Linked DNA regions of Caenorhabditis elegans. The protein of the gene in region 3 purifies or fractionates together with the protein of the main gene of each other region. This does not show direct contact. Each region holds a gene or a part of one and is shown on either strand. Other genes may lie near its edges. The genes, in order: met-2, lin-65 and arle-14.

What was found.
Region 1: the proteins of arle-14 (region 3) and met-2 purify together in Caenorhabditis elegans (affinity purification with mass spectrometry; one study listed by BioGRID). This does not show direct contact.
Region 2: the proteins of arle-14 (region 3) and lin-65 purify together in Caenorhabditis elegans (affinity purification with mass spectrometry; one study listed by BioGRID). This does not show direct contact.

What each region holds. Positions count from the first base shown.
Region 1 is NC_003281.10:8,373,498-8,384,352, reverse strand, and holds met-2 (Histone-lysine N-methyltransferase met-2), read right to left. Parts: upstream 9,054-10,855; coding exon 8,958-9,053; intron 8,889-8,957; coding exon 8,601-8,888; intron 8,554-8,600; coding exon 7,889-8,553; intron 7,821-7,888; coding exon 7,324-7,820; intron 6,821-7,323; coding exon 6,207-6,820; intron 5,907-6,206; coding exon 5,038-5,906; intron 4,987-5,037; coding exon 4,851-4,986; intron 4,803-4,850; coding exon 4,276-4,802; intron 3,944-4,275; coding exon 3,721-3,943; 3' UTR 3,490-3,720; downstream 1-3,489. Other genes in the region: R05D3.12 (Putative DNA topoisomerase 2, mitochondrial), read right to left, coding at 121-315, 365-884, 1,175-1,367, 1,419-1,967, 2,231-2,311, 2,365-2,608, 2,973-3,225, 3,273-3,396; lmbr-1 (LIMR family protein R05D3.2), read right to left, coding at 9,578-9,665, 9,713-10,086, 10,138-10,516, 10,570-10,855. UniProt on the Caenorhabditis elegans protein: Histone methyltransferase which is required for the mono- and dimethylation of 'Lys-9' of histone H3. This increases the efficiency of set-25-mediated trimethylation of histone H3 'Lys-9'.
Region 2 is NC_003279.8:1,752,242-1,759,894, reverse strand, and holds the start of lin-65 (uncharacterized protein), read right to left. Parts: upstream 4,567-7,653; 5' UTR 4,566-4,566; coding exon 4,433-4,565; intron 1,045-4,432; coding exon 358-1,044; intron 1-357. Other genes in the region: Y71G12B.10 (hydroxymethylglutaryl-CoA lyase), read right to left, coding at 5,580-5,896, 6,958-7,291.
Region 3 is NC_003281.10:5,688,240-5,694,435, reverse strand, and holds arle-14 (ARF7 effector protein C-terminal domain-containing protein), read right to left. Parts: upstream 1,487-6,196; 5' UTR 1,423-1,486; coding exon 1,366-1,422; intron 1,318-1,365; coding exon 1,222-1,317; intron 1,182-1,221; coding exon 857-1,181; intron 783-856; coding exon 646-782; 3' UTR 501-645; downstream 1-500. Other genes in the region: B0336.13 (Transcription initiation factor IIA small chain homolog), read right to left, coding at 102-388; abi-1 (SH3 domain-containing protein), read left to right, coding at 1,730-1,858, 1,906-1,991, 2,038-2,479, 2,971-3,562, 4,047-4,207.

The DNA.
Region 1 (10,855 bases), 2.7 Mb from region 3:
TCATTTTATGTTAATAAATATTTTCGAAAGAATTAGTTTTTTCTTGGTTTTTTTTGGCAAGAATTCCCGTTTCTTGATAATTGCAAAAATTTTCTCGTTGGACGGCCTTGCTTGGGATACCTTTTTAAATCGACCATTCCAAATTGCATAAGTTGCCCATCAACGAATTCTTGATAACTTATTTCAGTTTTACCATCATCTTCATTCGTAATCTCATTTTCTGATCTTCTGATCCATTCTTTTCTCTCGTCACTCTTATCTCTATCAAAAGCCATTCGAATAGCATCATCATCTGTTGTTCCAGTGTATTTAAAACTGAAAAAAATAAAATTTTGATATTTTCTCCGTATTGGAAGTTACTTACTTAACAGTATGATGATCTAAATCACTGAAATATTCTCTTGCTTCATTCGAAGTTGAAGTTCCAAGTCCTTTATAATATTTAATTTTCCATTTTCCTCCTTCTTCAACATCTGCCCATTTCCGATATTCATTCATTGAGAAGAATGATCTAACTTTATCTCCTTTCTTTGCTTTCAGTAGTGGTGTTCGGAATGATTGAATGAATCCATCTGTATGCACAAGACTTGGCCAGAATTTATGAATAAAATTAACAATTAGTCCCTTGATGTGACTGCCATCCTCATCCTGATCCGCCAAAATCAAGAGTCGACCGTATCGAAGAGACTCGCGAGTTATTGAGTTCGAATCTTCAAATTTCAATCCAAGAATTCGGAGAAGATTCGAAATTTCTTCATTCTTCGATGCACGGGCGTCATCTAGATTTGATACGTTCAACAGTTTTCCTTTCAGTGGAAATACTCCATAAGTTTCACGTCCCAGAACTTCTAAGCCGGCAAGAGCCAAAGCTTTCGCCGAATCACCTGAAAATGTGTTTATTGAATAGAAATTCTTAGTTTCAATACGGTAACTGGTCTCGACACGGCAATTTTCTGTGAAATACAAACGGATGTGCGCCTTTGAGGAGTACTGTAATTTCCACCGATTTTCTAGTTTTTCTTTAAAAACAACCTAACTATTAAAATATATATTAAAACCTAGTAAATGTTTAATCGTTTTTTGATAAATAAATACATTTTTGACGGAAAACTATAGAAAATCGGTGGAAATTACAGTAATCTTTAAAGACGCAGGGACCTAGTTAATATGATACCTTCTGTGAGAATCAATGTGCACTTCTCTGCCGTTCCCGTAATTCCAGCCCATTCAGCGTCTTCTAGCTTGACAATATCTCGAACTGAAGACACTGAAACTCGTTTTCCTGGTAATTTCTTCTTTTTCATATTCAATACTTCTTCCACAATATCCTCTATTAATCCACTCTGTTCCGCCCATTCTGCTGTTTTCTGAAAAAATTTTAAAAATAGTACTGAATATACTAATTTTATATTTCTAACCTTCGCATCACATTCAAAAATTGATCCAAAATTCTTGGCTTTCGTCGTCAAAGTTTCTTTAGTTTGACTTTCAAAAGATGGATTTTCAATGAGACAATTGATAAATATAGACAAATTATTCTTGATAACTGCTGGTTTCACACTTTTCGTAGGATCTCCTAACTTTGAATCTACGATTGGCTTGATAATATTCACTATTTTATCCATCACATAATCCACGTGGCTTCCCCCTTTCTCCGTGTTGATATTATTCACGAAGCTAACAATTTTCGGAAGGACCACATGAGATTCTCCAAAGAAATTATTCCGTTTGGCCACGCCCACATGCCATCGAGGTGTTGGATGAAGAAATAGAAGAGACGAAGAGTCATTGAACATTTTTACATAATCTTCGAATCCGTCTACATCACATTTTTGGCCATTTAGGTAAACATCAACATCTCGTGGAAGAGTTGCAGCAACTTCAAATACACGTCTTCCGATAAGATCGATGACGTCATCGGAGAGTTTATCTATTTGGAAACGTTCAAGATCAGGAACAAATTCGACCTGAAACAAAAATGGTTTTTATCTTTATTATGAGATCCTATGGGTCTCATTTGGTATTTGACGGCAAAATCGGAAATTTAAACGTTTTTAATTATTTTCGCATGTTTTTAAGAATTTTTTTTATTTCATCAAAAACATAACGGTAAACGTTTGAAAATTGACAAAATCGGCGAAACTAATTGAAAACGTCTGAAATTCCTGTTTTCCACCAAATACCTAGCGAGACCCATGGTTTGGGGGAGGAGCCTATCGAAACTTCATACTTTAGTGTAGTCTTTGACTGTTTCATCTAAAATCTCGACAACTTCCGCCTCATTACACTTTTTCATATTGTCATACCATTTCTAAAAATTTAATAAATTAATTCAATTAATTCCTCGATTTTATTATCAGAAACCTGTCTAAACCGTCGTTTTATTCTTGTATCCACTGTTTCAACGATAAATTCCTTTGAGAAAATATTACAAAGTTTTGCACCATATCCATTTCTTCCACCAACTGTTTTAATTTCAGAATCATCATAATTTGATGAAGTGAATAAATTTCCAAAGACAAGCGTTGGAACATAAATTCCTTCGGTTGGATGAATTTCCACTGGAAGTCCGCTTCCGTTATTCCATACCGATATTCGTGCGGTTTCTCTTAAAAATTTATTTTTAAGGATATACATTACGAAGACGCGAATTTGTGCAACAAAAAACGGTACCCGGTCTCGACACGACAAATTTTTGTTTAATGCGAAAAAGTGAAAAAGATAGTACTGTATCGCCAAACTTTCGTTTTTGAGGAATTTTGTTTCTTATAAATTAATGTGAATTTTAGATTTTTTTAAAATCATATATTCATCGGAAAACCATTTATGAAAAATTGAAGAAACGAGAATTTAAAACTACAGTATTATTTAAAGGTGCACGTCGATTTTCATGCATTTACCAAAACAATTGTCGTGGCGAGACAGCGTATCGTAGCTTTGTCGCAGAACATAAATTCCTGCAATATATTTACCTATCTAACCATACTTCCAACCGATTCATACTGGAATCTCTTGCTTTATTATCAGCCGCATTCACTAGAATCTCATCGAAAATCTTCAATAATCCAGGTGGATAAGTGACTTCTTTTGCAATCATTTTTCTATTTTCTGAGTCTCTGAGCCAAATAATTTGATCTTCTCGCATGGCGACACCTCCAATATATGTATCGGGTCGAAGTAATACATGTTCAGTTGGACTTTTCTTTTCATATTTTGCTGCAGCCTCTTCAAAAAGAAATATTTTAGCTAAAGTTTTGAAATTCGATTATTACCAGAAGCAAAACTAGTAGAAGGAATATTATTACAAAATGAACGAGTATTTTTTAAAACTACAGTAGTCCTATGTGACGTGGAAATGCAGAACTTCAAGTGACGTAGAACCCGTAATCGATGCATAACTTATGAAACCTAAATATATATATTCTATATTTTAAAATTGTAAACTGAAATAGATTGGAGACATCAAAACTGTACTGACTATTAAAAAATATAATGTCTTTTTTAAAACATTTTATTCGCAGAGAAAATCAAAATGAAAACCAAAGAAACTATTTGGCAAACCCTTACGAGGTAAATACGTGTTTAGATCATACATATGAGATGCTGTTTTCAAAGGGAGATTTTAAACGATTGAACAATAAACAAAATAAAAATTAAATAAATAAATAAATACTTAAAAAAAAAGGAAAACATAACTGGGAAGGAAATAACAACAATTCTTTAACTTTTCAGCAAACGGCCGGTGCAGTTTTCAGCTCCGCAGTGGCATGTGAGTTGTGTGGTAGCCGTCTGATCTTGAGTATATTGATAGTCCCAGGTTAGCTCATCGCCGGCTTTCACGTATTTTCGTGTGAAAAACGCGACCCATGGAAGACGAAGATCATGCGTATCGTACATGACGTGTTGAACGTGCACATTCGGATCGCAAGAGTGATTCAAGAATCTGAAAGTTATCGAAAATTTATGATTGTATCTTTGGAGTGCCGGTTTTTCAAATTTTCTCAATTGTATTATAGTCTCCAAAACATACCAAATGACTTTTTACGAATTTTAGTTTTTTTAAGATGGAGTAGAACCGTTTTGAAATTTGTTTCCTTTTTTTGCTTTTTTCTTCACTTTTCAACGTGAAATACTGTTTGTTAATTTTTCAGAATTTTTTCCATAGAGAAAGGTTGATAAACCAAAAGAAGAGGCAAACGGTTGGTTTGTCCATTTTTTATCATTTAAAGCAAAATCTCTAAAAAATTTTTTTAATGAATAAAATTGTGATCTTACCTTCCAAGATTTCCTCTCTGTTTTGCATCTATAACATACAATGGAAACGGCTCAAAATACTTATCCCAATTGAAAACGGGTTCGTCTTTACTTTCAATATTATCCTTTTCCATTGAATCTCTTGGAGTGGTGTCATCTTTCTCCACACTTCCTCCTTTACCGGATTTTTTAGATTGCTTTCTTTTCTGTCTTGTCAGCCGTTTTGTTTCTTCACCACTCTCCGAAGAGTCTTGACGTTTCACCATTTTGTTCATTACATCATCACCGGAGTCACCATCACTTCCTTCTTCGTCATCATAATCTGACTCGTCTCCTCCGTAACCAAAATCAGTTTCATGATCTTCGCGACCCTTTTCCAGCTCCACGGTATCCTTCAAGTCCAAATCAGCGAAGTATTGATCCGCATTTCTTAGTTCATCAGCCAAATCATCCGTCAGTATAGCACCTACATACGTGCAAATGAACGTACTTTGAGGAATATCCGTCAAAGCTCGGACTCCCCATCCGGATTGAGCAGTTTTGAAGATCTGAAGAAAAAACAATAATTGGTATGTATCATCGTTAAATAAACTCACATGCATAGGATACTTGATATTGTTCTGAACAACTCTGTTGTAACAAGACTTTCGATGGCATGAACACTGATCGTTGCATTCATAGAGTCCACTGATAACCTTACTGCTGAGAAGACGATTTTGATAGTGAGGAACTCTGAAAAAAAATAGTTTTAAAAATTTATTTTGTTTTTCTGAACTCTCATACAATTCGTCGTGTCCGTCGAATTGTAAATTATGGGGGAGTCGTTTCATTGCTTCAATGGACAATTGTTGGCATTCACACTTCGATGCGTCACTGCAATCACCATCACAAGAGCATCCAGAACAGAAATCTCGGCTAACACTCGATATATCCACTTGATCATTGTATTGGAATCGTCGTTTCGAATATTCCAATGATGGAGGCTCATCGTTATCCACGCTGTTCACTAGTGGAATTGGGATTCCTTCGGTTCCAAGCGAAAAATCAGCAACCTTCAAATATTTATCGTCAACAGTAATATAAGTGGCAGTATCGATTCGTGCATCAAATGAAAAACAATCAATCGTCAATAAACTTCTGGTGACATGAATATATTCAGAGACGTCGCTGATCTGGTGAAGAGCGGCTCCGCATGGAGAAAAGTAAATAATGTTTTTCTTCACTGCTCCCCGCTTCTTTCCAGTACTCATTGTGTACATAATTCGTCTCCAACCACACAAAAGAGGAGTATGTATTGGTGAATTTCGATGGAATCTTGCTTCATACGGATCCGCATCCATTTTCTGTAGACAATCTGGACCACATTGAGCATGAGCCTTGAGATTTTCCAATGGTGTTAGGACGGGTATTGGAACAATAATCTTGTTAAATAAGAATTGATTTTTCTTTCTTATTTCAATTTCTCTCTTCGATTTTGCATCATTTGTCGAAGCGACATTCTGATTGGTGCCCGTCGTTTTCTTTTTAACGACTTGTTGGTGATTCCTCTCTGGCATCGAACGAATCATGTCGGTTGGCTCGAACTGTGATTGAAGCTGGTCTTTTCTGCGTTGCGACAGATTGTTATTTGTCGAGATCATGTGCTTCTTGTGCTGAAATAATACAAAATTTTCATGATTTCTTTCTCCTTTTTTCATATTTTCGGAACCTTTTTTTTGAAAACGTTGAAAAGTTTGTGTCCATTTTATAGAAAAAACTTTGAAGATGAAACTTGGATATTATTAAAAGCAAAAATTGATTTCACAGCTTTTTTTTGGAAGTTTCCCTTTTCGATTTCTCTAACAAAACATCCAAAAAACCTTGATTATCAATTATAAGAAATCAAATCAAATAAAAATAAAATAATTTTAGAAAATCCTCGTTTTGTATCAATTTTTCAAATAAAATCTTACCGCTGCGCCTTCCAATCTATGAGATCCTCTATAGATTTTCTCGTCAATATGCTGATGATTTCTATCATTGCACGGAAAGTCTGTACATCTATTCCCAGGAGCCAATGGATTCGGTGCTTCGTGTCTCACAATAGCAAAAGCTCGATCAGTTCCAATCACTGTCACCATTTTCTTACGTCGATCAACAAGAGAATTGTACAAACAGATTCGCATTCCAACTGGCATCTTGAGAAGTGGCCATTCCGGAAATTCTTTCATAAAATCCCGAATATACGCTGATCTGTGAGATTGTCGAATCCAATGAAATGTCAAAAAATAATCCAGATTTCCTTCCTTTCCTACTGGCTGTCCAACCATAATAGCAATCTGAGCAGCATTCATCTTCGCAATCATTTCTTTGAGAGAAAATACACTTTTCTTTTCAGAAGCAACTTCATAACCTGGTTCACCAGGCATTGTCGGAGCTGACACGTATGCATCGGTTCCGTTGTCGAAGAAAATTAGAAAATCGGATCTATGAGCTCTGCGACGTCCGGCAGCTGTACCGGTAAGCCAAATTGTTTTTTTTCCAAATTGGCTCGAGGAAATAACTTGGCGACAGGCAACTCGAAGACCTGAAAACAATGATTTTAGATACTTCGATCATGAAACTGATATCTAGGCCAGGTTGAGTTTTTGGATTTTTTTGTTGTTTAATGGATTCTGACAAACATCTGCTTTTTTGGGACCACAAAAAACAACTGCTACACTTGAAACGTTTTTTTGTGTACATAATATATTTTACAAGTTTTTCATGAAATATTTGGATTTGAATTTGTTTCAAACTTTTTCAAATTTAGTGTTTAGCACCATTTTTTTCTAGATCAACCGAAAATCCAATCATGGAAAATTTTAAATGGTTTTTCGTTGAAAAATATACGGGACGAAAATTCTAGATTATCAAAATTTTGTCAATTTTGAGAAGAGAAAAACGGACTTGATAGTGAATCAAATTTTGATTTTTTTAAATTTAACACAAAAACTAAAATTTTCGATTTTCTAATAAAATCGAAAAACCGAAACCCTTATTCTACATAACAGATGTAATATTAAATATCAATTTTAACTTAAAACTCACCAACATCACCAAATGTATTCAAACTCGGGTCATACATTCCCTGCGTAGTCATGGCTAAATCTCTGATGTTACACTCTCTGATCTGACTTGTGTCGATAAATTTAACCTTATAGGTCATTGCATCCACACGATCCTGAACTATGGCGTATGTTAATTCTGCATCGTCAGAAGGATTGGCGCGAGCCAGACAGAAATCTCCAACTGTCAAAACGAAGAATTTTTCGAAGTCAGTCTTGGTGTCGTAAACTTTCTGAGCTTCGGCGATGGCGAGCTTCATCTCGGCTTTTAATGTCTCCATTATTGCACGAGAGTTGATAATTTCGGTTCGTTGATCGGATGTAAAACTCTCATTCACAGCAGCCTCAGTGCCATCAAAATCGGGAATTTTCTCGTTGACAAGTTGAATTATTTCATTACGGCTGCCAACGGCGTTCTCAAAATGTTGTTTGAATTCTGCTGATGTTGACTCGATTTCGTGGAAGAAGTCGTTGAGCTCTCTAAAAGGTATTTAAGTGATAATTATGAAAATACTTTCAAAACAGTTGTGAGTTTGATTAATACTCGCCTGCCAATTTTATCCTGCGCACCGTTTTCCTTCTGATCATCCCAGTATTTGACTGCCGTATCAATGATATTATTAGAAAATTCCACTTGATCGAAATTCAAGAGTAAATCATCAGTCGGATTTGAATCAAAATCTAATCGACACGGATGCCCTTCTTCGCGTAATCGAATCAGAGTGAGCATGAGAATTGCTGATGCAGGTGATGTGACAGTAAACTGCATGAATCTCAACGGTCCATTTTTCGAATTCAATCCAGTATTTGGATAATCAAGAAAAGTGACACATTTTTCTATACTCCAATCGTCGATACGATCATCACATAGAACATTAAAGTCGACATCTTCTTCGTTGTTGGTATCGAGAACGCCAATACAAATAGCAGCGACTAGCACGTCTTCATCAATTAATTCGTATTTCTGTGAAAGTCCCTCAAGTGATTCACTTTCCTTGAACGATTTGACAATTTCCTTGCATTTATCGACATTTACAACCGGTGAATCGCTGATAGATTCTGTCAGATAGTTCGGATTTGTGAATTCGAAATTTTTAAATTGTTCTGGAAGGAGCCTTGTGAACCACGATAAAAATTCGTTGATTTTCAGTCTTCGAACTGCTTGTTTTTCTTCATCAGTTTTGACTATCGAATCTTCTATAATAAGATCTTCCTGAAAATAAAATAATTTTATTATTGTTTCCTTTATTGCAATCTAACCGCCTCTTCCTGTTGCTTGAGTTCAGCTTCATCTTTGGCAGTCTTCTCCGCATCAACCCGTCTTTGTGCTGCAACAGCTTCTTGTTCACTCTCATTTCCGAAGAACGAATTAAGAGCTTGAGCTACTTGCTCAGATGGCGCATCAAGGAGCGCTTGGACATCTGAATTAGCGTTAAGAATCCCTTCAACTAAATCAGAATCTTCATCTGTTCCTTCTTCTGCTTTTCCATTATCCAGAATCTCCTGTATTTCTGTTTCATCGTAGTCGTCCACTGTTAGGTCAATTGTCTGAAAATCGATAAATTGAATTATATGACAATGAATCTCCGAAGCGAAATTTTAAATAATTTCACTCACAGCAGTGACGAATGAACTTTGTTCCTGTGTTTCCATCCCATCATCCGAAAGAATACTGCTCGTATCTACGTTATTCGATGGTTCTTGTTGGTCCATCTGAATATTAGATAAAAATTAATTGAGGCAATGCCCTGAAGAGTTGCAGATACATATTTCGGATTTTTTCAAACCTGAAGAAATAATTTTTACCTATACGGACAGTATTGATAATTAAAAGAAAAAATTAAAATGGTTTGTATTTCAGTTATTCTACATGAAAAGAGAAGGCGATAAAGAAAATCAGAGGGAAAATATGGTACATATACAAAAGCCCTGGTTTTTTTTGGCTTCAAATAGTTTGAAAAATGTTCCACGTTTTGATTGAAAGTAAAGCTAAACGGTTTCGACGACGAGAAAATTGCTGACTGAGGGGAAATACTAGGGAACATAATATATTAGGAGAATGCTTGAGAGAAAATGATGAAAAACAGACATGTAAAGCTAGAGGTTGGCAAAAATTGATGATTCTGAATTATTAGAAAAGGCGAGTAGTACCCGAGAAAAAAAATAGGACCTTGTTTTTGTAATGAAAAGATTAAAATGATGAACATGGGTAAGAAGTGTTGAAAAAGGAAAGAAATTCAATTGCTTTTCTTATCGCCTCTAAGGATCTCAATGGTTTCATCCGCATCACTCTCCCGTCTGATTCCACATCGTAGTTGACATATCCTGCAAAAAAATTAATAAGAATTTAAACTTTAAATTGCACAGCTTACCACTTCCAGATTTGCCTTCTCATTGAAGCAGTCAATTGATTGAAGAGAAATGCGACAGACAACACGACGAATAGAGTATTATAGGCAACAACGACTCGAAATGATCCAAGCCATTGGAGCGATGAGTGGGAGCCGAGAAGATCAAAAGTTGTCATTCCAACTGTGTTAACAGCTACTGGGAGAGCGGATGCAACAACAAGAACTATTGAAGAATTAATAATTATCGTTGGCATTGGAGTATCTTTTCGAACAGGTCGAAGAGAACGAAGAACCGGAAGGGAGTACAGCCCAACGAAAGATGTGATCATCACGTAAATAATGAGAAGAGTTTCGATGCAAGCCCCAAAAAGTCCGAATGAATGACGAGTGTGTACCTGAAAAATTATGTACTTTTAGAAATTATATTTAAAATCTCCGAAGCTTACCTCAATGTATTGAGCATAGACAGGTAAACTGCGATACCCGAATAACAATTTCAAGGTATTTGTAGCCACCATGATTAGAGAGCATGTCGTCAAAACTAACAAAGCAGCGGCCGCTACTGGGAATCGAAGACTCATGAAAAGTTTCACAAGTCGCCCCTGCTTCTCAATTGCTCTTTTGTATAATTTCGAGGATTTTACTGTGTGAAGAACTGGCTTCCAGATGGCTTCCTCGGATTTGGTGCGACGAGCAGGTGATAATGGTGTTGATGATGCCTCAGACGAAGATGCTTCATGGAAATCTCCAGAAGCAAAAGGATCCACAAGAAGTGATGAGGATGGATTGAGGCCAGTTTCGGAATTGTGTTTCCAGCGAGAAAATCTTAAATCAACATTGTTAAATAAAACTGTTTAAAACATACAAAAATTAAATACCTTGAAGAATAATAATTTGCCGAAAATGAGCTCCTTGGAGGTGACCCAAACCAATAATCGTCAGATTCAGAAAGGGATGACCTCTGCCGGCGAGCCTCTTTGACATACTCTTTCAGATTCCTATAGTCGAAATTTGGATTCTTTGGCTTTTTTGGAACATCTTTATCCCATTTTCGAACTATAGGTGTTGTCGCAGCATAATCATGTTTCCTCCTCTTCTTTTTATTTTTGGTGGGTGTTGAGTTTCCTAAATCTCCATCATCACCAAACGCTGACTTATCATCCG
Region 2 (7,653 bases), on a different chromosome or scaffold from region 3:
GGGAAAATTTTAGCTTTTTCTGAGATATTTTGAGTAAAATTTCTGCTTTTTTTGAGATGTTTGAATGAAATTTTTGGCTTTTTCTGAGATTTTTGCACTATAATGTTGTATTTTTGAGCTAAAAATCTCGAATTTATTGTAAAAAGTGACGATTTTCTGTATTTTTCAGACAAAACATGTTTTCAGGGTTTCCGCTAAAAATTCGTCAAAAAATTAATTTTTTTTTCAGCTTTATCATAAAAGTTGGTACAAAAATCTCAATTTTCAGGCTTTACAACTCAAAAAAAGATTGGTTAAGCTGGAAATGTATCAATTTTTTGCTCTTTTTTCCTGTTTTCCAGCTAAAAAAGCCCATACTTTCAACTGAATCCGTCTCCATATGTATAATATCTTCATCCTCTGGCTTCACATCACTTTTCTCCACAATTTCCTTTTCTTCATTCTTCTTGAGGCGCTCTTCGAGCATTTCCAGCGCGTTTTCCTGATTTTCAGTGTTAATTGGTGGCTCCACGGCTTCAGCTTCTTCTACAGCTTCTTCTTCTATGATAATATCGTCAGTCTCATCAAATCCTTCGTCCAAAACTCCATTTTGCTCGGCGAGCAGCACTTCTTCGTCGATTTCAGCGGCGATTTCTGGAGCTTCTGGGGCTTCTGGAGCTTCTGGAATTTCTTGAGCTGAAGCATCTGAAGCTCCCAAAGAATCCGGAACATCCTGAGCATCCTGAGCTTCTGTAGATCCTGGAACTTCTGGAGCTGAAGCATCAGAAGCCTCTGAAGCCTGAGCTGAAGCATCTGGAGCTCCCGAAGAATCCGGAACATCCTGAACTTCTGGAGCTTCTTGATCCGGAGCTGAAGCTTCTGAGGCTTCTTGAGCTGGAGCTGAAGCTTCTGGAGCTCCTGGAGCCGGAGCATCTGCAGCCAGCTCTTCCTGAGATTCAGGACCATCTGTAGTAACATCCTCATCCTCATCCATATCAATCACGAGAATCGGTTCCGGAGTGTCGTCATCATCGTCGTCCAGCATCACCACATCATCTGATTCGTCTGAAAATCGGAAAATTTTAGATTTTTTGAGCGGGAAATTCAAATTTTTCGGGCTTGAGGCGGCTTTTGGTGGCGTAGAAACATTTTTGGTGGCCTAGAAGCATTTTTGGTGGCCTAGAAACCTTTTTGGTGGCCTAGAAACATTTTTGGTGGCCTAGAAACCTTTTTGGTGGTCTAGAAACATTTTTGGTGGCCTAGAAACCTTTTTGGTGGTCTAGAAACATTTTTGGTGGCCTAGAAACCTTTTTGGTGGCCTAGAAAAATTTTTTGGGGGCCTAGAAACATTTTTGGTGGCCTAGAAACATTTTTGGTGGCATTGAAACCTGTTTGGTGGCCTAGAAACATTTTTGGTGGCATTGAAACCTGTTTGGTGGCCTAGAAACCTTTTTGGTGGCCTAGAAACATTTTTGGTGGCCTAGAAACATTTTTGGTGGCCTAGAAACCTTTTTGGTGGCCTAGAAACATTTTTGGTGGCATTGAAACCTGTTTGGTGGCCTAGAAACCTTTTTGGTGGCATTGAAACCTGTTTGGTGGCCTAGAAACCTTTTTGGTGGTCTAGAAACATTTTTGGTGGCCTAGAAACCTTTTTGGTGGCATTGAAACCTGTTTGGTGGCCTAGAAACATTTTTGGTGGCATTGAAACCTGTTTGGTGGCCTAGAAACCTTTTTGGTGGCCTAGAAACATTTTTGGTGGCCTAGAAACATTTTTGGTGGCCTAGAAACCTTTTTGGTGGCCTAGAAACATTTTTGGTGGCATTGAAACCTTTTTGGTGGCCTAGAAAAATTTTTTGGGGGCCTAGAAACATTTTTGGTGGCCTAGAAACATTTTTGGTGGCATTGAAACCTGTTTGGTGGCCTAGAAACCTTTTTGGTGGCCTAGAAACATTTTTGGTGGCCTAGAAACCTTTTTGGTGGTCTAGAAACATTTTTGGTGGCCTAGAAACCTTTTTGGTGGTCTAGAAACATTTTTGGTGGCCTAGAAACCTTTTTGGTGGCCTAGAAAAATTTTTTGGGGGCATTGAAACCTGTTTGGTGGCCTAGAAACATTTTTGGTGGCATTGAAACCTGTTTGGTGGCCTAGAAACCTTTTTGGTGGCCTAGAAACATTTTTGGTGGCCTAGAAACATTTTTGGTGGCCTAGAAACCTTTTTGGTGGCCTAGAAACATTTTTGGTGGCATTGAAACCTGTTTGGTGGCCTAGAAACCTTTTTGGTGGCATTGAAACCTGTTTGGTGGCCTAGAAACCTTTTTGGTGGTCTAGAAACCTTTTTGGTGGCATTGAAACCTGTTTGGTGGCCTAGAAACCTTTTTGGTGGCATTGAAACCTGTTTGGTGGCCTAGAAACATTTTTGGTGGCATTGAAACCTTTTTGGTGGCCTTGAAACCTTTTTGGTGGCCTAGAAACCTTTTTGGTGGCCTAGAAACATTTTTGGTGGCCTAGAAACATTTTTGGTGGCCTAGAAACCTTTTTGGTGGCCTAGAAACATTTTTGGTGGCATTGAAACCTGGTTGGTGGCCTAGAAACCTTTTTGGTGGCATTGAAACCTGTTTGGTGGCCTAGAAACCTTTTTGGTGGCCTAGAAACATTTTTGGTGGCCTAGAAACCTTTTTGGTGGCCTAGAAACATTTTTGGTGGCCTAGAAACCTTTTTGGTGGTCTAGAAACATTTTTGGTGGCCTAGAAACCTTTTTGGTGGTCTAGAAACATTTTTGATGGCCTAGAAACCTTTTTGGTGGCCTAGAAAAATTTTTTGGGGGCATTGAAACCTGTTTGGTGGCCTAGAAACATTTTTGGTGGCATTGAAACCTGTTTGGTGGCCTAGAAACCTTTTTGGTGGCCTAGAAACATTTTTGGTGGCCTAGAAACATTTTTGGTGGCCTAGAAACCTTTTTGGTGGCCTAGAAACATTTTTGGTGGCATTGAAACCTGTTTGGTGGCCTAGAAACCTTTTTGGTGGCATTGAAACCTGTTTGGTGGCCTAGAAACCTTTTTGGTGGTCTAGAAACATTTTTGGTGGCCTAGAAACCTTTTTGGTGGCATTGAAACCTGTTTGGTGGCCTAGAAACATTTTTGGTGGCATTGAAACCTTTTTGGTGGCCTTGAAACCTTTTTGGTGGCCTAGAAACCTTTTTGGTGGCCTAGAAACATTTTTGGTGGCCTAGAAACATTTTTGGTGGCCTAGAAACCTTTTTGGTGGCCTAGAAACATTTTTGGTGGCATTGAAACCTGGTTGGTGGCCTAGAAACCTTTTTGGTGGCATTGAAACCTGTTTGGTGGCCTAGAAACCTTTTTGGTGGCCTAGAAACATTTTTGGTGGCCTAGAAACCTTTTTGGTGGCCTAGAAAAATTTTTTGGGGGCCTAGAAACATTTTTGGTGGCCTAGAAACATTTTTGGTGGCATTGAAACCTGTTTGGTGGCCTAGAAACATTTTTGGTGGCATTGAAACCTGTTTGGTGGCCTAGAAACCTTTTTGGTGGCCTAGAAACATTTTTGGTGGCCTAGAAACATTTTTGGTGGCCTAGAAACCTTTTTGGTGGCCTAGAAACATTTTTGGTGGCATTGAAACCTGTTTGGTGGCCTAGAAACATTTTTGGTGGCATTGAAACCTGTTTGGTGGCCTAGAAACATTTTTGGTGGCATTGAAACCTGTTTGGTGGCCTAGAAACCTTTTTGGTGGCCTAGAAACATTTTTGGTGGCCTAGAAACCTTTTTGGTGGCCTAGAAACCTTTTTGGTGGCATTGAAACCTGTTTGGTGGCCTAGAAACATTTTTGGTGGCATTGAAACCTGTTTGGTGGCCTAGAAACCTTTTTGGTGGCCTAGAAACATTTTTGGTGGCCTAGAAACATTTTTGGTGGCCTAGAAACCTTTTTGGTGGCCTAGAAACATTTTTGGTGGCATTGAAACCTGGTTGGTGGCCTAGAAACCTTTTTGGTGGCATTGAAACCTGTTTGGTGGCCTAGAAACCTTTTTGGTGGCCTAGAAACATTTTTGGTGGCCTAGAAACCTTTTTGGTGGCCTAGAAAAATTTTTTGGGGGCCTAGAAACATTTTTGGTGGCCTAGAAACATTTTTGGTGGCATTGAAACCTGTTTGGTGGCCTAGAAACATTTTTGGTGGCCTAGAAACATTTTTGGTGGCCTAGAAACATTTTTGGTGGCCTAGAAACATTTTTGGTGGCCTAGAAACATTTTTGGTGGCCTAGAAATCTTTTTGGTGGCCTAGAAACCTTTTTGGTGGTTTTTTTTTTCACAGGTTTCGGAGGCATTTTTCGACATTTTTGGCCATTTTCTCAGCTAGAAATTCCAATTTTCGAGTTTTAAGGTAATTTTTAGCGAAAATTGCAAATTTTTAGTGCAAAATTCAAGGTTTTACTCAAAAAATCTCACCTTTCTGCTCAGTTATCTCCATAATTTCTCCATCTTCACCCAAAAGCTCAGCAATCTGATCATCATTTAATGGAGGTATTGGATCATCTGAAGCTTCTGTATTTAAGATACTTTCGTCGATTACTTCTGACATTCTGTAAAATTTTGAATAATTTAGAATTTTAGATGGGAAAAAATGGCAAAAAAAAAAGGATTTAAAAAGTCAGAAATTCAAAAAAAATTATTTAAAAAGTTAGAAATAGCCGATTTTTCAGGAAATATTCGAAAAATTCAGGAAAAAACTTTGAAATCAGGGGAAAATCTCGAAAAAAATCAAAAACAAATCTGAAATTTTTGGGGAAAACAGTTTTTTTTTACGAAAAAATTCAAAAATTTTGTGCAAATTTCGAGAAAATCCAGAGAAAAATGTGGTTTCTTGATTTTTTTCAAACAATTTTTCGAAAATCTCCAAAAAATCGTGAAAAACTCGAGGAATTGAAGGGAAAACTAGCAACAAAAAATCACAAAAATTGAGAAAAAAATATAGAAATCAGCTGAGAACTGGGGAAAACTCGGGAAAAATCTAAATTTTTGGGGGAAAATCAGAAAATTTTGGGGAATAACTTGCTTTTTTCGAGAAAAATTTCAAAATTTCGTACAAAATCCCAGAAAATTCAGAAAAAAAAATGCGGTTTTTTGATTTTTTTTCAAATAATTTTCCGAAAATTTCCAAAAAATCGTAAAAAAATCGAGAGTAGAATTCGGCTGAAAACCGGCAAAACTCGGAAAAAATCGGAAAATTTTGGGGAAAAAACCAAAAAAATCGGTAAAAACCTGCTTTTTTTTGAGAAATAATTCAAAAATTTGTACAAAATCCCAGAAAAATTCTGAGAAAAATGCGGTTTTTGAATTTTTTTTTTTGCAAACAATTCAATTTTCCGAAAATTTTCAAAAAATCGTGAAAAAATCGAGAAATTGAGGGGAAAACTAGCGAAAAAAAATCACAAAAAATGAGAAAAAAAAGATAGAAATCGGCTGAAAACCGGCAAAACTCAAGAAAATAAAAATCTGAAAAAAGTCTCTAATCTCTTTATTATTTCCTAAACAACCGGGGTAATTTTTACACGAATTTTTAAAAATTTTTTTAAATTTTTTACAGCACACATTTTCAGCAGCAGCTTTTGCTCTTTTTAGCCATCATTGCAGCTCCAACTCTCGACCATTTATCATATCCGGCGGCTTCATTAAACCATTTTGCAGTTTCGACAACTTTGTCCAAATTGACACCAGTTTCAAAACCGTTTCCTTTCAAAAAATACAATAAATCTTCAGTTGCAAGATTTCCAGTTGCTCCTTTCGCATATGGGCAACCACCGAGCCCTGCGATACTTGAATCCGCACTTCGGATGCCTTTTTCGATGGAAATGAGCACATTTGCGAGAGCTTGACCGTATGTGTCGTGGAAATGAACTGCGAGTTTTTCGGCTGAAATGGTGGTGATTTTTTGAAATTTTTTTTTCTTTCGAAAATAATTTTTTTTCACAGTTTTCCCGACTTTTTTCGCCTGAAAATCAATCGATTTTTCATTGAAATAACTCAAAAAACGATAAAAATCTCAATTTTCGCTGCGAGACCCACAATCTGTGGGGAAATTGACCGAATATCATGATAAAAAAATTCAAAAAATTTTTTCTAGATTTTATAAGATTTTTTTTTGATAATTGAAAAAATCTCAGTTTTCCCCTAATTCCTATTTGAATTACCGCCAATCGGATTTGACCGATGGAGCGCGCTTGCATTATTGGAATTAATTAATTTTATTTATTCTCATTATTCGACTGAATTTCTTCATTTCTTCTGTTTTTTTTTGTTGGAAAATGAAAGAAATAAAAAAGACATATGCAAAATGTTTGTTAAAAAGTAACTGAAAATGCCTAAAACTGTATTTTTTTTGAATTCTGACGACGGCAAGCCTGAAATTAGTATATTTTACAGTTTTATAAATAAAAATATATTTTGTAAAACTGTGAAATATACTAATTTCAGGTTTGTCGTCGTCAGAATTCAAAAAAAATTACAGTTTAAGGCATTTTCAGTTATTTTTTAACAAAAATTTTGCATCTGTCTTTTTTATTTCTTTCATTTTCCAACAAAAAAAAAACAGAAAAGAAGAAAATCAGTCGAATAATGAGAATAAATAAAATTAATTGATTAAAATAATGCAAGCGCGCTCCATCGGTCAAATCCAATAGGCGAAAATTCAAATATAATTATGTAAAAACTGAGATTTTTCAATTTTCAAAAAAAAATCATATAGTCTAGAAAAAAATTTTGAATTTTTTTATCACGATATTCGGTCAATTTCTCCACAGATTGTGGGTCTCGCAACGAAAATTGAGATTTTTATCGTTTCGTGAGTTATTTGACTGAAATCGATTGGTTTTCATGCGAAAAAAGCCGGGAAAACTGCGGGAAACTACTTTTTTTGTAGTTTTTCACTCGAAAAATCGAAATTTTAATATAAAATATTTAAAAAAATCCGCTACCTGGCACACTTTTCAGCACCGTATCCAGCATTTTCGACACAGTTTTCACTGTTCCAACGCCAATAGTGTCGCCCAGCGAGACCTCATAACACCCAGATTCTAGAAGCTTCTCGGCGACTCTGGCCACCATTTCCGGCTGTACAGCTCCCTGATACGGGCATCCAACGACGACTGAAACGTAGCCACGTACTCGAATATTGTTCTCGAGGGCGATTTTTGTGACTTCCATGAGCTTTTTCAGACTATCTTCCACATTGGAATTCACATTTTTCAGTGAAAACGCGTCTGAAGCTGCTCCAAATACGGCAATCTCTTCGACGACTCCTGTTGCGAGCTGGAAACTTGAGAAATTTGCAATTTTAAAGGTGGAGTAGCGCTAGTGGGGAAATTGCTTTAAAACATGCCTATGGTACCACAATGACCGAATATCATGATTAAAAATTTTTAAAAAAATTTCAAAATTTTATATGATTTTTTGAAAATTGAAAAAATCTCAGTTTTTGCCTAATTCCTATTTGAATTTCCGCCAATTGGATTTGTTCGATGGAGCGCGCTTGCACGTTTTTAAATTTATTTATTTTATTTTTTGTTATTTTCCACCGATTTTTAATGTTTTCAGTGTATTTTTGCTCGAATTTTAGAGAAAAAGCCAAGATAAATTCAAATTTTCGATTAAAAAGCACGCTGACAGGCGTA
Region 3 (6,196 bases):
AATTATAGATCATCGAGAAACAAAAATTTTTATAGAAAATTAATAAACAATTGCTTTTTTCTAGATTTTTTATTTTTAATACAAATAAAAGAAACACTCACTTATCAATAGGCTCATCAAACGATCGCTGGGGATCTTTCAACGTGACATTATTGAGAATAAACGTCCAAACGTTATCACAATATCGATAAGTGAGCAGTTGTGTCGCACAAAAATTCATTTTCTCTTTTGGAAGCCGCGAGATTTGCTTGTTCATGCTTTTATCAAATTGTTGCAGAACTTTCGAAGCAAGAGATTTCGTGAGAAGTCCTTCGGATTCCATGTCCTCAAGAGTTTTATCGAGTGCCTGACCCAGTGTGGTCCCTCGGTAAAGAGCGTATGACGACATTTCTGGAAGATTCTGAAATATCGTTGGATTAAATTTTTCTCGAGAAGATGCCAGATATATTTTCAGATTATCAACCGAGAAACTATGGATTAGTATGACAAAAAAGAACAAAAACAAACAATATCTTTAGTTTTTAATGAACATCGAGATTGAATTTTTCACAAAGACATGTATAAAACAGTTCAAAATAGATAATACCAGTACAAGAAAAAGGGGAACATACATAAGAGGTTAAAATTGATAAAACGATAAGGCATTTAATCCTTGATTTGGCCCGGAAAATAAGGATTAATATTGACAACAGGGCCCGGGGCTTCCGTCACTGTGTACATCTCCTCGACGCGTATCACCATTTCTTTTCGATTTTGACGACATCCGATGAGACATTTGCGAGCTGAAAAATGCATTTTTCTTTGTTTAAAGAATTTTTAGAACAAATATTTTTAGTTAATGAATATCATCTCTTACATTTGCACTGCTTACATGGCCAATGGCACCCATCACACTCCACCACGAGACAATCACAAAGATCGAAAAACAAAGTCTGTCCTTTTGCGGTAACCGAAAGTTTTCCTGTTTTGTCATGATGCAAAGGTTCGTCTCTCAGATCCGCCTGCTTCTCCGCGGCTACACGTTTCGAGCGGTTGGTGCTAATAATATCCACAGAGTCGGGCAAAAATCGAGACATTTCATCTCCTGGATTCGCGAACTGGAGGCCTTGAAGCTCTCGGTGTGCCATTCTCGTTCGACGGCTCGTTCCTGAACTTTCCTTTCGAGATGATGGCTGCAACTTCTGGGAACTTTGTTAAAATTTTCTTTATTCAAAAGCGTACCTTTGTTTCGAAATCGTCAAAAAGCTCCGCATCGACTTCATCGCAAATCTCGGAATCTTGTTGCATTTCACTATCCGTCGAGAAATCATTTTCAAGCTGAAAAAAATACAAAAATTAAATACATTAAAATTTCAAATTTCAAACCTCTGCTGCAGCTTTCGCCAGACCGGCAATTTGTGCGAGAACGTCATTGGAGCTCATTTTTAGAATTATTGGTTCAGAAATTTAGTAGGAAATATGATTTATATCGATTTAATTTGAATATATCCGAGGAAATTCTATTATTCGATATGCTCTCCTCGCGGGAAATAACATGTGCGTACCACTTGCGAAAAAGCGCGCCGCGCGTTGCATTCTGTGACCACGCCCTCATTAATTTCTTATTCATTCAGTTCCTTTGAGTGTTTTTCATGAAATTTCTGCTGTCAATTTATTATTTTTAAAATATTTTTCTAAACGTTAGTTAACTTTTAGTTTGTTACAGATGCTACATAATGGGGAAGGCGGAATGAGTGTTAATGATCTTCAAGAGCTCATCGAGCGACGGATACCCGATAATCGAGCTCAACTGGAAACGAGTCATGCGAATCTTCAACAAGTTGCCGCGTATTGTGAGGATAATTATATACAATCAAACGTGTGGTTTAATTTTTTCTTTTAAGTTTATGAATTAAACGTTTTCAGAATAAATCTGCTGCGCTAGAGGAATCCAAGAAATTCGCGATCCAGGCACTCGCCAGCGTAGCCTACCAGATTAACAAGATGGTTACGTAAGTATTTCAATTAATTTGTTTTAATTATGAATCTTTTTTTCAGAGATTTACACGATATGCTTGCTCTACAAACCGATAAAGTGAACTCTTTAACAAATCAAGTTCAATATGTTAGCCAAGTAGTTGATGTACATAAAGAGAAGCTTGCAAGACGAGAAATTGGTTCTCTCACAACCAATAAAACATTATTCAAGCAACCCAAAATCATTGCACCAGCAATCCCAGATGAAAAGCAGAGATATCAACGAACGCCCATCGATTTTTCTGTTCTTGACGGAATAGGGCATGGTGTCAGAACATCGGATCCACCGAGAGCAGCACCAATCTCAAGAGCAACTTCATCAATTTCTGGCAGTTCTCCATCACAATTTCACAATGAATCTCCAGCGTATGGAGTTTATGCTGGTGAACGAACGGCTACGTTAGGAAGAACAATGAGACCGTATGCTCCATCAATTGCTCCATCGGATTATCGGTTGCCACAGGTGAACATTTGAAATATTCATAGAGGCTGAAAATAATTTGCTTTTCGTGTTTTTGACAAAACGTTTTCAAAAAAAAAAGGGAGCGAAAAATTCTGACATAACTTATACATTTTAAATTTTAAACTTTTTTTTCTGAAAAATACACTCAATATTGAAAAAAAAGTGAACCATTGATAAATTTATTCAAAAAACGGTTTTTTTGACCCAAAACGACCGCATTTCATAATGAGACTTCTGAAAATATCGAAAAAAAATTTAGAGCGAGCCTGAATAAGAATCTGAAATCCTTGTTACAGCAGTTAGATACAGTATTTATTGAATAATCACATAATTAATTTTGAAATTTTTTAGAAGTCTTTTTATGAAATTCAATGTTTCAGGCTAGTTTTTGTCGACTTCAGACTAAACAACTAATTTTTAAAAAATCAGCTCATTTCCTTTTCAAAAAATTAATCAAGTTTTTTCTAACATAATCCGATTACTTTTTACAGGTCACACCACAATCAGAATCACGAATCGGCCGTCAAATGAGCCACGGATCAGAGTTCGGAGATCATATGAGCGGTGGTGGTGGAAGCGGAAGTCAACACGGATCATCAGACTATAATTCCATTTATCAACCTGATCGTTACGGAACTATTCGAGCTGGTGGTCGGACTACAGTGGATGGTAGCTTTTCTATTCCCAGACTATCATCTGCACAAAGTAGTGCTGGAGGTCCAGAATCACCAACATTCCCACTTCCACCACCAGCTATGAATTATACTGGATATGTTGCACCGGGAAGTGTGGTACAACAACAACAACAACAACAAATGCAACAACAAAATTATGGAACTATTCGAAAATCAACGGTGAACCGACATGATCTTCCACCTCCACCAAATTCTTTGCTCACTGGAATGTCAAGTCGAATGCCAACACAAGATGATATGGATGATCTACCACCTCCACCAGAATCAGTTGGTGGGTCATCAGCGTATGGAGTGTTTGCTGGTAGAACAGAATCGTACAGTTCGAGTCAGCCACCAAGTCTCTTTGATACGAGTGCTGGATGGATGCCCAACGAGTATTTGGAAAAAGGTATTTTTGGAGATTTTAATTTGATTGAAAAATTGTCGGAAAAAAATTCTCTAAGCTTTTCTGTATTATTTTACGATTTAGAAAATTGGCTAAAATTGTTAGTGAAAAATTTATTATAAAAACCGAAAAAAGTTTAAAAAAATTAAATTTAATAAAAATTTAAAAAAGAGAAAAAAACAAAAAATTTTGTGATATTGGAAAGTGATTTTGAAAAATTCAAATATCTCCAAATTTTTTTTTTTTGAGAATTTTCAAATTTTGAAAATTATAAGCTTTGATTTTTTAAAAAGTTATCTTTTTAGCTTTTATTTTCGAAAAAAACGAAAAATAAATTTCCTTTAAAAACATCGGAGTATCAAAAAAATCCAAAAAGAATCGAAATCTTAAGTTGTAAAATGCGATTTTTTGCAGAATTTTTAATGTTACAAAGCAATTATATTTGTCAATTTAAACATTTTCGAAAAAAACCAATCTTTTTTTTCAGTACGGGTCCTGTACGACTATGATGCTGCAAAAGAAGACGAGTTGACACTTCGCGAGAACGCAATTGTCTACGTACTGAAAAAGAACGATGACGACTGGTATGAAGGTGTCTTGGATGGAGTCACTGGGCTTTTCCCTGGAAACTACGTAGTTCCAGTATGATAACAAGAAATGCTAACCCTGCTAAATCAATTGCTTTTAATCTCACTTTTATTCATATTCATATATTGCCTTTTGCCTCGAGTACTTGTATGTGAAAAGCCAAAAATAAACGATGGATATGTAATCATGAAGGAAGCAGTGGTCCCCTCGTTTGCAGCAGTGAGAAGCCTAAAAATAGCCAATACGACTGCTATTTTCGAGTCTCGACGCATTTCCTGAACGCATGTGCTCGTTCTCTCACTGCCCCCGTACTACTCTCTTTTGGTTTTCCTAGGGGCTCGCCTATTTAATGAGATTGCTCATTTTCTCTTCATGCACACACATTCATTCATTTTCTTATATTTTTGTGCCTTCTTATTTCTTTTCCTCTCCTCTCTAGTTTATTTTTTCTTCTATTTTAGAATTTTAAATAATTCATGTTCGGCACGACGAATAGTGACGCCAAAGAGTTTGCAAGGCGTGGGAATTGTATCTTTTTTGGTGGGCGGTGGACACAGATTTTCTTAGAGGAGGAACAAAGGTCAAAAATACAAGCAGAATTCTTGAACAGTTGAAATTCCCGCGCGATTTCCAATAAGATGACTTGGATCGCGGTGGGACCTTAACTATTGCACAGACGCAAAATTTTGTCATTTTTGCGCCAAAATACGGTACTCGGTCTCGACACGACAATTTTTTATTGGATAAAAACGGATGTGCACCTTTAAAGAGTTCAGTACTTTCAAAAATTTGTTGCTGCATGCTGCATGAAAACTCCATGAAAATTTAAAAGCAACGGAAGTTTGAAACTACAGTACTCGTTAAAGGCGCACATCCCTTTTTATTTAGCAAAAAAGTGTCGTGTCGAGACCGCATACCGTATTTTTTTATCTTTTAACTTTAAAATATGAAACTCTGCAGAGTACTCTGCTCATAAAAAGAAACAAAAATTCGCTTTAATTGGAAAATTCGAGAAACATTTCAGTCAGAAAAACAAAACATTGTTTTTTTTTTCGAAAAACACGAGACCTCAATTAAGAAAAGTCGGTTTGTTGTTTTGTTGGTGCTCTTAAACTGCGGTTAATCTTCCATTCAAAAGCATCTAATACAAAAAGTACCAGTAATTATATTTAAATCGGTTCAAATACCTCATGGGACAAATTTGAATTGGCATATTTATTTTTTGATAAACATTTTTTTTCCGACCTTAACTCTTGTATAACAATGAAATCTAATCTTGTTGCTATTAAACACAATTTCTGACGAAAAACTACGGAACCTGGTCTCGACGCGACCGGAAATTTCAGGCATAGAAGAGTGTGTACCTTTAAAGATTACCGTAGTTTCTCAGTTTTTTTTTGCAATTTTTATCCACCCCTTTTTAAAGCTGTTTTTCGAAAAACTAATTTTTCGAAAAGAAAAAATATCGATGATAATTGAACACAATTGCGTAAAACAGAATTTCGCAACTACAGTACTCTTTAAAGGCGCACTCTCTTTTGCGAAACTCTCGGTCGCGTCGAGACCGGGTACCGTTATTTTTTTTGTATTTTCTTGCAACTTGGTAATAATTGCAATCTGAATTGCAAAGAAATTTTGGTGCTCCATACGCGCATTTCAGTATTTTCAATTTTCAAAAGTTCCCTTATTTTTAAACCAAAGCACATTTCATTTCAGTGTTCTTGTGGCTCTTTTTTCTCTATTTTCTATCTTTTCAGAGTGTCCTGTGTCCCTTCTCCCCTCCCCTACCAGGGCGTGACGTCGGTACGCTCCTCTTCTTACGTCTTTCCATATCTCTGTACTCTCTGTACTCTCTCTATCTCTCTCACACACACAACAGAAAGAGCTCACCAACTTGTCTATTCTCTATTTACATATTTCGTCAATCTTTTTCTCTCTTCACAGGGGCGGCTACCGATCCGTTCTTTCGCAAAAAACCCTCGGAAATAGTAAACCCCAGAGTCATCATTGATAGTTATAAATAGACATCTTTATGTGAACTCACCTGTT